2 linked regions of the Macaca fascicularis genome follow. The main gene of each other region encodes a partner of the protein of the gene in region 2 in a complex. Links are inferred from orthologs where the notes say so. Each region holds a gene or a part of one and is shown on either strand. Other genes may lie near its edges.

What was found.
Region 1: the proteins of TIMM10B (region 2) and TIMM10 are in contact, whole or in part, in a cryo-EM structure (PDB 7CGP), measured with the Homo sapiens proteins. The link is inferred for Macaca fascicularis from reciprocal best matches to the Homo sapiens genes TIMM10B and TIMM10. Residues at the interface, in NP_036324.1 of Homo sapiens: Gln7, Leu11, Leu14, Arg15, Phe17, Leu18, Leu19, Tyr21, Asn22, Arg23, Met24, Thr25, Glu26, Cys28, Phe29, Val33, Pro34, Ser35, Leu36, His37, His38, Arg39, Leu41, Glu46, Leu49, His50, Ala53, Gly54, Ile57, His61; in NP_036588.1 of Homo sapiens: Ala6, Leu9, Leu13, Glu16, Met17, Asp20, Met21, Arg24, Ala28, Lys32, Cys50, Asp52, Arg53, Cys54, Ser56, Lys57, Tyr58, Asp60, Ile61, His62, Glu63, Arg64, Met65, Gly66, Lys68, Leu69, Leu72, Asp76.

What each region holds. Positions count from the first base shown.
Region 1 is NC_088388.1:16,082,105-16,086,407, forward strand, and holds TIMM10 (mitochondrial import inner membrane translocase subunit Tim10), read left to right. Parts: upstream 1-1,494; 5' UTR 1,495-1,603; intron 1,604-1,967; 5' UTR 1,968-2,072; coding exon 2,073-2,143; intron 2,144-3,658; coding exon 3,659-3,860; 3' UTR 3,861-4,097; downstream 4,098-4,303.
Region 2 is NC_088388.1:59,598,634-59,602,153, reverse strand, and holds TIMM10B (mitochondrial import inner membrane translocase subunit Tim10 B), read left to right. Parts: upstream 1-1,455; 5' UTR 1,456-1,476; coding exon 1,477-1,512; exon of another isoform or gene 1,513-1,619; coding exon of another isoform or gene 1,620-1,622; intron 1,623-1,713; coding exon 1,714-1,809; coding exon of another isoform or gene 1,810-1,821; intron 1,822-2,000; coding exon 2,001-2,177; 3' UTR 2,178-3,011; downstream 3,012-3,520. Other genes in the region: ARFIP2 (arfaptin-2), read right to left, coding at 1-25, 277-375. UniProt on the Homo sapiens protein: Component of the TIM22 complex, a complex that mediates the import and insertion of multi-pass transmembrane proteins into the mitochondrial inner membrane.

The sequences.
Region 1 (4,303 bases), about 44 Mb from region 2:
TGCATAGTAGGCAAAAACTGGAAACAATCCAAACATCCATCAACAGGAGAATGGATAAATGAATTGTGGCATGCTCATACAATCAAACACTAGACAGCAATAAAACAGAAGGAATAACAGATGCACACAACAATATGGAGGAAACCTTACAGGTACATTGAGCTAAAGACGTCAGGCACAAAATAGAAAATAATGTGTAATTCCATTTACATGAAGTTCAAGAACAAGGAAAACGAATTGATGGTGATAGAGGTCAGAATAGTGGTTAACTTCAAGAGGGAGTATTGATGGGGAAGAAACACAAGATAACTTTTTGGGGTGCAGGAAGTATTTTATATCTTGATCTGGGTGGTGGTTATACAAATGTATATATACACATATATATTTAATTAAGCTTGAGATTCGTGTATTTTATGCACTTTATGAATATTATACCTCAATCTTTAAAAATCAGGGCACAAGGTTTGACAAAGATGAGTCTTCAAAGCAGAAAGGTCGATTGTTTAAAATCAGGATGGTCTTGGACAATTAGGGAAGCATATGATGACCACACATATAAAATGTCTAGCCCACCTTTTCCAATGAGCAATGTGCCCTTGCGTCATCAATTTACATCTTGTAAATTTATTTTACTAGGAAATTGTGTGACAAATCAAGGGACTGAGTGTTGTTTCCTTCTTTTTAGTGGGGAATGAGTGAATGGTGCAGTTTGAAGAACACATTAAGTCTTGAAAGTTGAAAAGTTCACCAGTACCCTCCTTCTCCCTCACCCATGATTAGCCTCGGTGGCAGCCGAAATTGCTTTTATTAATCTCTTTGTGGCTCAGGACCTCTGACTGTTGAAGAAAACATATTTTACACGTCTTGTCTTTCTACGAGCAGGAAGCCTATCTCGCTTATCGTTGCAACACCAGAAGGGGCTTAGTGTGACCTACACACAGTAGTAATCGCACAACGTCCCATGGAGCACTGCTTCTCAAATTTGGCTGTACATACGAATCACCTGGGGAATTTTAAATTGTATTGATGCCTGGGTCCTACTCCCAGAGATTCTGATTTAATTGAAATGAGGTGAGTCCTGGGCACTGGGACGTTTAAAAACGTTCCAGGGATTTTAACGCGAAACAAAAACAGAATCGCTGTTTGGGGGCGTTCTTCCTTCTCCACGCCTGATTTACGCTCAGGAGTCGGCTGTCCGGAACTGGGATGAGATTCACTGATATCTGTCACCACGCCTCTTCCTACAGAACCAATAAACTGAAGCGGCTCTGTGACATCCCAAGGGACTTGAATTGTAAGCGGGCTGCAGACGCTCTGCACCCCGCCCAAGCCTCTATGGTACTTTGGCGTCCCCTCTAGCACTGGCAAGTCGCCTTCCTCTTCGCCCGGCGCCGGCCGCTCCCTCTCTAGGATCGCCGAGTTCCCGGCGCCGTCTCGTTGGTATTTAGTTCCGGAAGCGAGTTTGAATCAAAGGAGAGGCGGGACTTCCCTCCCGGAAGTAACCCACGTGCTTCCGCTGGAGCCTTCTGGAGAGGCGGGTAACGTTATAGTTTTTGTCAGAAGTTGGGGTCTCCGTGAGCATTGCGATCCGTCCCAGGCAGTGGTGAGTGACCCATGACCTCTGAATTCAATGTGGCTCTGATTATGGCGTCGCCATTTCAGAGGCGCAGCCTTTAGGCTGCGTCCCGGTCGCCTGTGTTCAGCGTACGATCTCATTCCCAGGGCCCTGGAGGTTCAGGCTTATGGGTTAGAGCGTTCTGCCTCGGTCCTCGATCTTCTGAATAGAGGTGACCTCCAGGGACTGGGGCATCAGAGATCCGGGGCTCGATTTCCAGGCTCGCCATGGACGTCCTGTGCGACCTTGGGCGAGGCCTCAGTTTCCACATCCGTGAAATGGGGTGGTTAATCTTACTGAGGTTAGTGGCCCGTGGTGGTCTGGCGCCCTGTGAGTCCTCTGTATCCTCTAGCCCCAAGGGGTAGGAGAGTGAACGGCGGCGGTGGGTGCTGATGGTGATGTCTGCTCCCAGGATTAGGAGGCCAGAAGGAGATACCTTCCACGGTGCTAGGCTGAGATGGATCCTCTCAGGGCCCAACAGCTGGCTGCGGAGCTGGAGGTGGAGATGATGGCCGATATGTACAACAGGTAAAGAGAACTATGTTCTACCCTGTCTTGGAAAATAAGTCTTGGTCACCCATATCGAAGGTGAATGACTTACAACAAATTCCTTCCTGAATGTAGGGGAGCCTGAGGCCCATGCTTACCCTCCCCATACGCACCTCCAAGGTTGATCCTAATGTAGACGCAGTCACTAGAATGAGTTGGGCATTTAGATGGGGATGGAACTGGCAATGCAGGAGCCAAGCAGGAAGAGAAACTCCAATCCAGGCTCTGGTTAGGTTCCAAGAAAAGCTGAGTATTTGCCTCTTGATAAATAGCACATAGCCAGCCCATTTAGTAGTTAACATTTTAAAACCCTTTATTCTGTGTCAGGCTCTTGTTAATCTTCAAAATAATCCAGTGGGTTAATTTTATTAGTCCCATCTTAAAATGAGGAAATTGATGCTGCTAGAGGTTAAGTAACTTCCTTAGGGTCCGCAGCTGGTGGGTAACAATGCCAGAACTAGCACCTCAGTCTGGTTCTGCAACTAGTGCTCATAACCATTTGGCACATTTGGGAACAAATCCTGGCTCCACCAATCACCAGCAGTATACTTGGACATGTTACTTGCACTGTTTGACAATTGGTTTCCTCATTATGAAAAAGACATAATGATACCTACCTCATAGGGCATCATAAATATTAAATCTAAAAATATATGAAAGTCCTTAGCCTCAAGCCCAACACTTAGTAACAGTGAAATGTCTGCTATTTTTATTGGCTTAAGCTCTCTTGATTGGTTTATCCTGACGACTATAAATTAGAAAGATTGTTAAGTGTAGACTGTGAGGTCAGATGACCTGGGTTCATATCTCAGCTCTATGTGATTCTTAGAAAATTACTGAGCCTCGGCCGGGCGCGGTGGCTCAAGCCTGTAATCCCAGCACTTTGGGAGGCCGAGGCGGGTGGATCACGAGGTCAGGAGATCGAGACCATCCTGGCTAACACGGTGAAACCCCGTCTCTACTAAAAATACAAAAAGAAATTAGCTGGGCGTGGTGGCGGGCGCCTGTAGTCCCAGCTACTTGGGAGGCTGAGGCAGGAGAATGGCGTGAACCCGGGAGGCGGAGCTTGCAGTGAGCCGAGATCGCGCCACTGCACTCCAGTCTGGGCGACAGAGCGAGACTCCGTCTCAAAAAAAAAAAAAAAAAAAAAAATTACTGAGCCTCTGTTTGCCTTAATTTTCTCGTCTGTAAAATGGGGATAAGTATCTCTTGGGGTAATTGTAAGCATTGCGTAACAGAATGCAGGTAAAGCACTTAGCATGATGCCTGGCACATAGCCAGTCCTTAACAAATTGTTTCTACTTAATTAGTCATATACATGGGCTCAGGCAAGTTTCCTACTTGCAAGGACCTTCCAGTGGTTGAGGTGTAAACTGAGGATTTACACTGCTTTCTTGGGGAAGGTGACATCAATATAGCAGGGCTGGAATGGTCGAGGGTTCCTGGGATGTCACAGGATGCTGCTGACATGACCTTGCCCCTCCCTCCCTCCAGAATGACCAGTGCCTGCCACCGGAAGTGTGTACCTCCTCACTACAAGGAAGCAGAGCTCTCCAAGGGCGAGTCTGTGTGCCTGGACCGATGTGTCTCTAAGTACTTGGACATCCATGAGCGAATGGGCAAAAAGTTGACAGAGTTGTCTATGCAGGATGAAGAGCTGATGAAGAGGGTGCAGCAGAGCTCTGGGCCCGCGTGAGGTCCGTGTCAGCATACACCCTGGGGTACACCCCACCCCTTCCCACTTTAATAAAAGTGCTCCCTGTTGGGTGTCATCTGTGAGGACTGCCAGGCCTAAGCTCTCTGTAGCGAGTCTTCAAGATCCTGGAGTGGTAGCGCTGTCCCCTGGTGAAGGAGTATTTGTCACACTGGAATGTGACTGTGTGTATGTATGTATGTATGTATATATATATTAAAACAAGTTTGTTGACACCTACTATGTGCAAAGCAGTGTGCGTGGCATTTGAGAGTAAACAGACACAGCCCCTACCAGCAGAGGGAGACTAATGTAGTGTTTAAGAGTAGGACAGGCCAGGCACAGTGGCTCACGCCTGTAATCCCAGCACTTTGGGAGGCTGAAGTGGGTGGATCACTTGAGGTCAGGAGTTCAAGACCACCTGGCCAACATGGCAAAACCCCGTC
Region 2 (3,520 bases):
CTGACACCATCACTTGCTGGAGGTCCTATAGGCCAGAGAAGAGGGGTTGCTTCAGGAACATAGGGACTGCAGAAGCATTTTGGAGGTGGGAACAAGTTTGGATTCAAGCATCATAAAGACACTACACAAGGGAAGTCTGCACAGAATCAAAATGATATGTAAAATTAAGGGAGTCAGATAAGTTCAGGGGAAGGCTACTGGAATGGAGGGTGAGAACCCAGGATTTATAAATTGGATTCCTAAATTGAAACAATTAGAAGAATCAAACAGAAGCACCTGCTCCAGCCCATCATCTTCAGGAAGCTGCCTGGCTTCACCGTTCCCGTGGATAGGGATCTCCATTGTGGCTGCCTTCCCTAGGATCCCGTCCGTCATGGCTAGGAAAGGTATTGGAGTAAAACTCTCCACCCCAGCACCCTGCAAAGCCCAACACAGAAGTTCTGGGCACTGGCCAGCACTCTAGAAGAAGGAAGCCTCCTCTGTCATTTCTTTAAAGGCTGTCCCAGGGTTTGAGTGTCCCAGCGTTTGGTCATCATTCCTTTCTTCAGGTATATGTATTTCTCCCCTCCAAAATGCACATTTGTACACAGGCACACCAAAGCACGGTGTCTTCTCACAAGCCCCCAACCTCACCAGGCCTCTGGTGATTATTCTACACTCATTCAGTCATTCAGCAGACATTTAGTGAGTGCCTACTCTGTGTCAGGTACTATTTGTGACAATGAAAATACAACAGTGAAGAGGGAAAGTAGCTCTCTTAGAACTTATCTCCATGCAGGCGTGTTTATGCTGAGCAGGAGATGGACCCTTTCCAGGGCTCAGGTCTTCACCCCCCATTCAGGTTTGTTCTCCATTGCTTGGCCTTTCTCACTCCTTTAGTGTTTCTTCCCCCTTCCTTCAGGGGGTCTCCCCTCCTCCGTCTCATACAACTCCTCTTCCTTGGGCCCTCCCCACCAGGCCTTAGTTAGATCAGTTGGTGTATGTTCCCAGTCTCTGGCAAAAGCCTGTCTTTACCAGGATATCGGTGATCCCTTCCACAGTCAGTCTCCCAGGTATGTGAGTCCCCGCCCCCACCCCCATACACCTGGACATCAGGTGTGTCCTCATTCTTCCCCAGGGCTCGGGGCATCTTGCCCTCTGGACAGGTTTGTGCGTTCAACTTCCCGTCGCCCAAGCATGTCCCTCTCACCTCGGGCCGGGCCGCTCTTCCCCTCAGGGCGCCAGGCCCGGGCCGCGCGGGGACCTCGGGCTCCAGTTCCCGTCGCGATCCTAGCAGCAGGTCAGGGACTCGGCGGAAGTGACGTCCTCTCCGGGCAGAAGAAGCCGGCCACGTCGCAGATTATAAGGGCGGAAGTGACGTCGAAGCCGGGGCAGGGCGATACTCTAGCTTGGTTCTCGAGAGCAGCGAGAGGTTACTTCCGGGGCGGCACCGAGAAGCTGAAAAGGAAGTGGCGTAGAGCATGCGCCGGTGGCGTGATGGAGCAGCAGCAGCAGCAACAGCAACTGAGAAACGTGAGTGAGAACTAAGTCGTTTCGGGGCCAGACGTTCAGCTCGCATTCCTGCACACATCGCGGAAACCCCATAGAGCCAGGGATCTGAGGGCTGGAAACTTCGGGTTATGGTGCGCGGGCCTGGGAAACTTTGGGCGGCGCGACCTTGAGTAGAAGTGTGGGGCACATATCGCTGAGTTCGTGGTCCCGGTTTTCTCCCAGCTGCGTGACTTCCTGTTGGTCTACAATCGGATGACAGAACTCTGCTTCCAGCGTTGTGTGCCCAGCTTGCACCACCGAGCTCTGGACGCTGAGGAGGTGGGGAACTGTGTAAGGAGGTTACGCTGCAAACAGAGTTTAGCGGTAGACTGCTTCCCTCCTCACCCCACTTCCCCTACCTCTGGTCCTGGCCTTCCCAGACCCTCACCCCTAGGCTGTGCATGGGGAAGGACGGAGGCGGGCCCGACAGGACACCTTTGTCCTCCGCTTAAACCCTATCTTCCTTCTAGGAGGCCTGTCTGCACAGCTGTGCTGGGAAGCTGATCCATTCCAACCACCGCCTCATGGCCGCTTACGTGCAGCTCATGCCTGCCCTGGTACAGCGCCGCATCGCAGACTACGAGGCTGTCTCGGCTGTGCCAGGCGTTGCTGCTGAGCAGCCTGGGGTCTCTCCATCAGGCAGCTAGCCATCTCCAACCCCAGGAGGGAAGGCCCTGGATGGACCCTCAGATTGAAGGACCCAGTGGACCTTAGGGTTGGTGAATCCTAAACGGAGAGAATTCGAGGTCGCCTGAAAACTGGCTGTCCTTGCTCCTTTTCCTGGAGCCAATATACTCGCTTTTTACTCTGTTTGATTTATATTCTGGGCAAGGAAGCTTTGCATAGTTTATTGGCATAATCCTTTGTTCTGTCATTTAGCCATATCTGCTGGCTTCAGCCCTGGCAGCTGATAAGTTGTCTTCTATATGTAGAAGGAAAACCTGAGTATTTGCAGGCATCTGGTTAAAGCAGGGTCTGTGTGTACAATTTTAAAATGAGTAATATGTCAGGCTTTATCTTAGTTTACAACAAAACTACAAGTAAGCGGTATTAGCCTCACTAAATAGATGAGGAAGCAAGATTCCAGAATGTACCAGAAGGCCATTTGATACAAAAGGAGATTGGTTCCTGCCCAGATGACAGAAAATGGGAGCTCTGTCTAGTTGTCCTTAAGTCTGACTGACTTCAATGGCTTATAACCGTGAACCAAGTATTTGTTGGTTCATAACTGTTGTTTTGTGAACTATGTCTTATATGTCTAGAATTCTGCTGGATCTAGGGAAAGGAGAAGCTGTCGAAGTACAACGGATCAAAAAACCACAGGGCTTTTGGGCACTGCCTCCTTGAGAAGTTAGTGGCCACAGAAGAGAGATGAAACCTGTAAGAAGTCTGGAGTCTTGGAACTTCAGCCATTTCCCCAGGTTGTTACTTTCTTAGTTTGTACAGTCTTCTCAGGATGAGAAGTAAAACCTTTGAACCAAGGTCTGTGTGCTTGTCTTACGGGCAATCGGGAAGGGAGAAAGTTGGGGACCGTATTCTGCAATACAGCGAAATCTGAGGAAGAAAAACTGAAGGGGGAAGTAGATGGCAATGGTTATGATAAAAAGGATAAAACGAAATCTTCGGGACTTCCTTAATGCTACCTTAATGTTTCACTGCTTGTCTAGAATCTCCTAATTCCAGCTTTCCATCATCTGCCCCACATTGGTCTCATTGAGTACAATCCGTGATTTCTTTTTTTTTTTTTTTTTTTTTTTTTTTTTGAGACGGAGTCTCACTCTGTCGCCCAGGCTGGAGTGCAGTGGCCGGATCTCAGCTCACTGCAAGCTCCGCCTCCCGGGTTCCCGCCATTCTCCTGCCTCAGCCTCCCGAGTAGCTGGGACTACAGGCACCCGCCACCTCGCCCAGCTAGTTTTTTGTATTTTTTAGTAGAGACGGGGGTTTCACCGTGTTAGCCAGGACGGTCTCGATCTCCTGACCTCGAGATCCG